2 linked regions of the Schizosaccharomyces pombe genome follow. The protein of the gene in region 1 purifies or fractionates together with the protein of each later gene. This does not show direct contact. Each region holds a gene or a part of one and is shown in the gene's direction. Other genes may lie near its edges. The genes, in order: pcf2 and pcf3.

Region 1 (3,932 bases):
GTTTCAACGTTGGGCATAGAAGATCCTAGTCGCTCACTTTCCAGTAAGCAAGCATGGTTTAATATTTTCTTAACATTATCACGCGTTAGTTTCTTAAGCACAAAAACGGGGCATCTGCTAATGAGAGCAGAATTTAGTCGGAAAGAAGGATTTCTACAATGTTAATCATGGTGGAAAACATTAGTGTTTAAACATACTCAGTTGTTGCGCCGATCCTAATTCAAAGGTTAGCATTTGTGATATTAGAATGCATCACTTACAGAGTAACTAGACCCTTTTCAACCATTGGCACTAGTCATGGTTAATTGAAGAGATAAAAAAATATCAAACTTACAAAATATATCCTGTTGCGCACGGTTGAAACGATGTACTTCGTCCAAGAAAATAATAGTCTTTCTTCCTGTCAAGGTGAGATAATTTTGTGAGTCTTCAAAGATTTTACGACAATCAGCAACAGTCGTCGAAGTCGCAGAAATTTCTATGAACCTTGATTTTGTTGTAACGGCAATTAGTCTAGCAAGCGTAGTCTTTCCAGTTCCAGCACTACCCCATAAAATCATGGAATTGCACCTATCTTGTTCAATCAGATTACGAATGATGCCTCGCTCACCAACCAGCTCTTCCTGACCAACATATTCATCTAGTGATTTGGGTCTTGCTCGTTCCGCCAGTGGTCGTGTATCCCGTCTTGTAAGTTTAGTTTTCTTTGTAGGGCTGGGTTCAGGCTCTATAAATTTTGTAGCGCTCTGGTGAGATGAGACATTTGTTTCTAAATGATGTTTATAGCGTTCCTTTTTAAAAAAGGGTGAAACAGGTTTCGAAGGGCCTGATGAGTCCGAATAATGTGAATCAAGGTGTGGATTAATGTCATTCATCGTAACTGTTTTCGCGCAAACAGGACATTGAACATGATCTGGTCCTGACATTCTGATTTACATAGATAAAAGTATGTGGTACGAAAGGTAAACAGATAAATCTGGAATGAAACAATAACACATACAAATGAGCGACCTTTGGCAAGAAAGTTTACAAAAAAAAGTAACGTTTAAGGAATTTTGATCATCAAAATTGCTTGTTGTTTATGACACTCTCAACAGCAATATAACAGAGCTGAACGGCATCGATTGTACAAAACCGTGAACCAAGTCGTCGCGTGTAGTTAGGGAATTATACGATGAAGTAAGAGGTTATAATAATATCAAAGTATTTGTTTAAGCTAAAAATATTACTTACAAGAAAAAGTTAGATTTTAAATTCATATGTGTTATTATAGTTGACAGTTTTTATACGCAATTTCACCGCCTAAATGATAAGATATTAAAAAAAAAACAATAGAAATGATGAGTCTATGGAAGATAATAAAATGTCTAAAAACCAAAATGATGTTGATCCAAGACTTGTAAACTACGCGTTTTAAACCCTCAAATTTTGTACTCTATTATATGAAATACTCTGTTTTTAAACCAAGGGGAAAGGATGCAATTTCAACTGTGAAAGTCCATAATATTTATAAGAAATCGAACCTTATAAACTTACCTAACACTAAACATAGTAATCGCACGGCTAATAAGAAGACTATTGTGCAAACTAAAGGGCTTTAAATAGATAAAAAAAAATAGAGTATAACGGGCACTCAGCATATAATTCAAAATTTTTCCTCCAACTACTAATGCTGCTTGAACATTGAACCCAAAGCAAATTGACAAATAATAGAAATAACAACAATATTAGAGAGTTCATAAAAAATTCTCTTTGAACTCTAAATAATATACACGTTAGTTCCGTACTCACGAAATTACTATTAGAAAAATTGTGCGAAGCGATCCTAGAGCACTAACGACGAAGAGGAACATGAGAGCGGAGGTTTTGCAGATACGATGGCATTATGATGCTAATGATGATCACACACCTATTTATTCAGTTGATTTTCAAAAGAACAGTCTTAATAAATTTGCTACATGTGGAGGAGACAGTAAAATCAGGGTAATGATTTGACATAAAACTATTTTTGCTTCAACTATTGTTTGTTGTAGTTTAAAAAAAAGAAAGAAAATTCCTTCAATTATACTAATATCCAGATATGGCAATTGATCACTTCGGAATCATCCACAAAAGTCGAATATTTGTCTACGTTAAGTCGACACACGCAAGCAGTGAACGTCGTTCGTTTCAATCCAGAAGGTATTCGCTAATAATTTTTTCCAATGCTCACATTAAAATAGGAAATATTCTTGCTACCGCCGGAGATGAAGGAACTATTATGTTATGGGTTCCAACTAACACTCCTATAACAACTTTGGCTGATGATGCGGAAGAGTTGGCTCTAGCTAAAGAATATTGGAAGGTCAAAATAGTTTGTAGGTCGATGGGTTCAGAAATATATGATTTATGCTGGTCGGTTGACAGTAATTTTCTTATTGCCGGCGCCATGGATAATAGTCTTCGGTTGTACGATGCTCACACAGGTATGAATTGGCAGTTGTTGTTATTGGCAATATTTTTTTTTAAATTAAAATTACTGACTAAGAAGGGCAACTGCTTACTCAAAAATTCGACCATTCACATTACGTTCAAGGGGTATGTTGGGATCCTTTGAATCAATACATCGTTTCGGAAAGTAGTGATCGTTCTATATGTTTATACGAAATTCAAGAGGAAAAAAAGAATCCGAAAAAATTCCAACTCGTTTTAAAATCGCGCATCTGTCGTATTGAGTATAATGTAACTAAATTCGAATTAATATCTGTTACGAAGCCCTTAAATAATGATGAATCATCGGGGATATCAGAACCTATCGAAACTTCTAATAATAATGAGTCTCCCGTATCTAAGCACGAAGCTCTCTCATCAACTGCAAACATAGTCAAAGATGGAAGCTTAGAGCGAACAGAGCCTCCAAATTCTCTCAATTCAAAAATCAGTTACTCTTTGTACTGCAATGAAACTCTTGTTTCTTTTTTTCGTCGTCCAGCATTCTCCCCTGACGGATTACTACTAGTTACGCCTGCTGGTCGGCTTCGACCGCACGGTCAACCAAACTTTGAAGTTCCCTATACTGCTTATATTTATACAAGAGGGAGTATAACCAAACAGCCAGTAGCTTGTCTTAATGGATTCAAAAAACCAGTTATTGCGGTTCGTTTTTCTCCAATTCATTATGAATTGAACTCATTCTCTAACTTCTCTTTTACTTCTGTCTCTTTTAATCTTCCTTATCGAATGGTATTTGCTGTGGCATGTCAAGATGCTGTTTATATTTATGATACGCAAACTTGCAAACCATTTTATCGTGCAGTAAATTTACATTACTCTAACCTTACAGACATAGCTTGGAATGATGATGGAAATGTTTTGTTAATGACTTCTATAGATGGTTTTTGTTCTGTAATTACCTTTGAACCTGGAGAATTGGGTGTCAAAAGTCAACACAAAATTTCTTTGCCGGAGAAACGATCAGCTTCACCCTCTAGTATTGATGATTCACAAGACAATACGGCTGGGGGACCAGCTACTACAACACTAATTCCCAGAAAAGTTGAATCTTCAAAAGTATCAAAGAAGCGTATTGCACCTACCCCCGTTTATCCATAATTTCATGTTTATGAAAAAAGTTCTACTTCGACAATACGCTTTGATTTTTGGAGTAAAAATCTCGTACTTCTTGTTTTGTACTAGTAACTTTAAAGAACCTTTTATTTTTTTAAAAAAAAAAAAGAAGGCAAAACTGTACATTCTACTTTGGATGTAATCATTCGGTAATTTGCTTAGATATAAGCACAATTAAATTCATTACAATTGTTAAGATAAATATATAAAAAGCAAATAATACTTCTAATCGTTTGTACTTTTTGTCTACTTAAGACTATAAAACTAATATGTAACTTTTCTGTAAGTATAAAATACGTATTGAGGAACCCTCTTACACATAACAT
Region 2 (3,932 bases), 1.6 Mb from region 1:
CGCAATATACAGATGTTAATTTCCTGGCTTCAATACACCAATCCAAATTGGTTTAAACGTAATTTTAGTAGTGGAAATTATGAAATCAATTCTTTGCAATCGTTGTTGCTCAGCGCTTGGATGAAAGGTATAGATGCCGAAGGTTATGCTCAATTAGGAGACAACTTGCATGGTAAATGGATTGGTGCTACTGAGGTTTATAGCCTATTTACCGGGTTGTTTGTCAACGTCGCTTTAGTAGACTTTGATTTCAGATCTGAAGCTTCTGCTAGCAATGCACTTTTTCTTTACGTTAAAAAACATTTTGAAAGTTCTAATGATACAAGCAATGTTTCTCCATGTTATTTACAATTTCAAGGGCATTCTATCATTATCATTGGGTTCTGTTCTTCTTTAGAAACTCTTGTTGTGCTTGATCCAGATCGTTATCAGAGTGTTCAAAAAAAGTTTGTGAATATTGCGGACTTTAATCACTGTTATATGCGAAAAAAGCGATCTTTGAAATTCTCACAATTTCAATTGGTACATTTTAAGCAAAACATTTTTTTAAATGATTTCAGTTCAAAACTGGAAGTTCGTTCTACCAGAATTTCGGACTTTTAGCTGTCCAAGCGCTGGTGATGTTTTTCATAATATTTATGAAGGCCGTTTCCCCATATATTAATTTATAGAAAAAGGAAAAACTGTTGAAAAATAATAATATATCTGATTATTCTCTTTTGACTTACTACTATGTAGTATACGTATATTTAAAATTGTTGATAGTTTCTCATATTTTCATATAGCGACATTGTTATTGAATTTAAAATTTGTTGTTTTGCGGTGAATTCGGTGTTTACATCGGTATATCCGACTTTGGCTTCCGAATGTGGATAAAGGCTAAAGTTGTTACCAAAAGTAAACAACTACCAGCCTTGCACAATGTTTGTTGTCAAGACTGCTGTATTATTATTCTTTGCATTATTTATTGGAAATACTTATGCATATACTTATTCTCTGGACAGAATTCAAGCATTAAAATTTAGTTCTGAATCCTCCAACGTTGATGATGGACCACGGCTTCATTGCAAAGGACCAGCGTGTAGCTCGCACAGCAATGATTTGGCTATTTGTCAGCATAACCAACTTAACGTTGCTCCTCATTTATTAAAATGGACTTGTGTATGGCCTAATCAGTCTTCTCATGTAGAAGTAATAGATTATAATATTGAGTGCAAAAAAACCGTCGCCTTGTCCATGGACAGCATTACTAAGACATGCATTTTAAACTATAAGTTGGAATGGACCTACTCTGGAGTATTACTACATAGGCCTTGGAAATTGTTTTCATTAAAGCCATTCACTGCTGCGTTTGTGCTCCTCCTTGCGGCTTCATATCTGGCAACTGCCTGTTTCCGTATGCTTGGTTATTTGGGAACACCTAGATCTCGTTTCCATGATAACAGAAGATGGAATGAACAGAAATTTATGGAGTTGGCGGTTTCTGCTGTAGAGGAGCAGTTATCTAATGGCATACAGCTTTTCTCCAATGTCAAACAGAGAGTTCCTGTACCCGTGTTGGATGAATCTGTTTAATACTTTGCATTTGAATCCTCGTGTTTAGCTTCCACGTAGTATCACATATCTTAAATGGATGACAGTCTAACTCTCAGAATAGGCAAACAACAGTTGAAATCGCACCTCTGTTACATATATTACAAGTTCATTCCCTTATTAATCACTCATTAATGAATGCCTCCTAATTGAAATCGAGCGCTGTCATCCCCACGGCTAATAATCGTTAGATTTCTGCATTCTATTTAGTAATATTCTTGCATTATTACCATCATATTCTCTGTCCACTTTCGTTTGCTTCTTTAACTTACAGTTAGAGAAAATACACTTTAAAATATAATAATGGAAAACAGCTATATTAAAAATCAATATTGGCATAGCAGATCATTCATAGTATTATATAACTTCTTGATATAAAATTGTTTCTTTTTTCATTTATTTGTTCAGCTGTATATGGTAATCCATATTTCGTACTAAGCGCTTCGTCTACCGACGTTGTAGGTTCAACCTTCCATGTACATACCTTCCAACAAAACTTTCTTACATATTGATGGCAAATAGTGGCTTATAGACAGATATTTTAGTTTAACTCATTCTCTAAAAGTAAAATCACTTGCATTCTTTTGAGGTGGTAGAGGTGGTTTAAACTCAAATTGTTAAAAATTTGTTAAAGTATGCAAAAATGAACACCGAACTGGATATGCAGAATTTCGAACATATTAAGTTTCTAGAGAATCAGATTAGTGAGGATCATTTTCGTTGGAAAAAAAATTCGAAACATCTATACAACTTACTAATAACCCGTACTTTAACATGGCCCTCTTTAAGTATCCAATGGCTCTCAGCAATGGAATCGATCACTGAAAAAGCGGTTTTAAAAAACCGTCTTCTCCTAGGGACTCATGCCGCTGAAGGGATGCCAAATTTCTTGCAGCTTGCAGATTTAGATTTACCTGATTTCAATCAAACTATATTGGATCCAGTAAAACACTACAATGAAGATACTGGTGAGCTAGGAGGCTATAGTATGCAACATTCTTGCAAGTTCCAAATCTCGCAACGAATTCTTCATAATGGCGATGTAAATCGTGTTCGACACATGCCTCAAAACCCAAACATCATAGCTACTATGAGCTCTTGTGGAAATGCATATATATTTGATCGGACAAAATATACTTCAATGCCCGCTGAAGAATTTTTACCAAATATCTCTTTGATTGGGCACAAAAAAGAAGGGTTTGGACTATCTTGGAATCGTCAGCAAAATTGCCGACTTGTAACAGCTGCTAATGATTCGAAAATTTTAGAATGGGATCTAAATAATTTTAGCCGTGATACGAGGTGCTTAACTCCCGTAAAGGATTTTCATTATGATGATTCTCCGGTTAATGATGTTGAATATCATCCGCACCACACCAACTTATATATTGCTGTAAATGATAATGGAATTGCCTTTATTTGTGATAACCGACTTCAACAAACATGTTCGAAAACAGTTAAAGCTTCAAATCCCCTTTTTAGCGTCAGACATAATCCTTCAATTGCGACTTTGTTTGCTTTGGGGTCTGAGCAAGATTTACAGCTTTGGGACCTTCGGAACTTAAATAAATCGGTTTTTAACACTTCTGAAGACTTATCAGATAATAGATTAAAAGTGCCTTCTAGACTAACTCTAGGAGGCACCAGTTTGTCATGGAGCTGGAGACACTCTGGTCGGATTGTTAGTGCCTGCCAAGAGTATTGCTATGTGTGGAATTTTAACAAAGCTAATCCTTTGGAGTTTGTGCATGCAGGTCATAAAGGTACGGTGAATGAAGTGGACTTTGATCCGTTTGAGGCACAATGTATTGCTTCGGTTGCTGATGACAATGAATTACACATTTGGAAGCCCAATGTTATTGTTAATTAATAAATACTTACATCCATCACACGAGGTAATACAAAGTTTTAAGTTATACAGCAATTAATTAATTGCAATTTTGATGGGTATGTTGCAGGGCTATATTGTATTCATTCATCTTCAAATTTGCTCAACGTGTACATTAAAATTACCTAATGACATAGAGATATTTCATTACTAATGAAAAGATAATTTTTCACTCACTAATCGTCCGTTCGGTAATCAAGGATTTCCTACTTATGTTCTTCAATGTATTTCCTATAAAGTAGTATTAGTAAATATATTCCAAACACTCGCTATAGAGCAATAGCTTTACTTACAAAATGAATTCTTCTTCTTCTTTGCTTTTGGCATTCAAAGGAGGAACATCCTTTGCGCTAAGTGGCTTATTTCTTTTAAACAATTTACTATAGATCACAGGACCAACAAATACTGAACCGAGAACAGCTAAACTCAACTATGTTCATTGTTAGGTGTA

What was found.
Region 2: the proteins of pcf2 (region 1) and pcf3 purify together in Schizosaccharomyces pombe (affinity purification with western blotting; 2 studies listed by BioGRID, with this or other methods). This does not show direct contact.

Annotation. Positions count from the first base shown.
Region 1 is NC_003424.3:4,118,048-4,121,979, forward strand, and holds pcf2 (CAF assembly factor complex subunit B Pcf2), read left to right. Parts: upstream 1-1,826; 5' UTR 1,827-1,851; coding exon 1,852-1,983; exon of another isoform or gene 1,984-2,078; coding exon 2,079-2,181; exon of another isoform or gene 2,182-2,222; coding exon 2,223-2,465; exon of another isoform or gene 2,466-2,530; coding exon 2,531-3,591; 3' UTR 3,592-3,827; downstream 3,828-3,932. Other genes in the region: mgs1 (DNA replication ATPase), read right to left, coding at 1-153, 198-215, 261-291, 335-926. UniProt on the Schizosaccharomyces pombe protein: Acts as a component of the histone chaperone complex chromatin assembly factor 1 (CAF-1), which assembles histone octamers onto DNA during replication and repair.
Region 2 is NC_003424.3:2,529,217-2,533,148, forward strand, and holds pcf3 (CAF assembly factor complex subunit B Pcf3), read left to right. Parts: upstream 1-2,067; 5' UTR 2,068-2,236; coding exon 2,237-3,463; 3' UTR 3,464-3,661; downstream 3,662-3,932. Other genes in the region: mug105 (ubiquitin-fold modifier-specific protease), read left to right, coding at 1-603; protein meu29, read left to right, coding at 922-1,575; atp19 (F0-ATPase subunit K), read right to left, coding at 3,688-3,712, 3,775-3,911.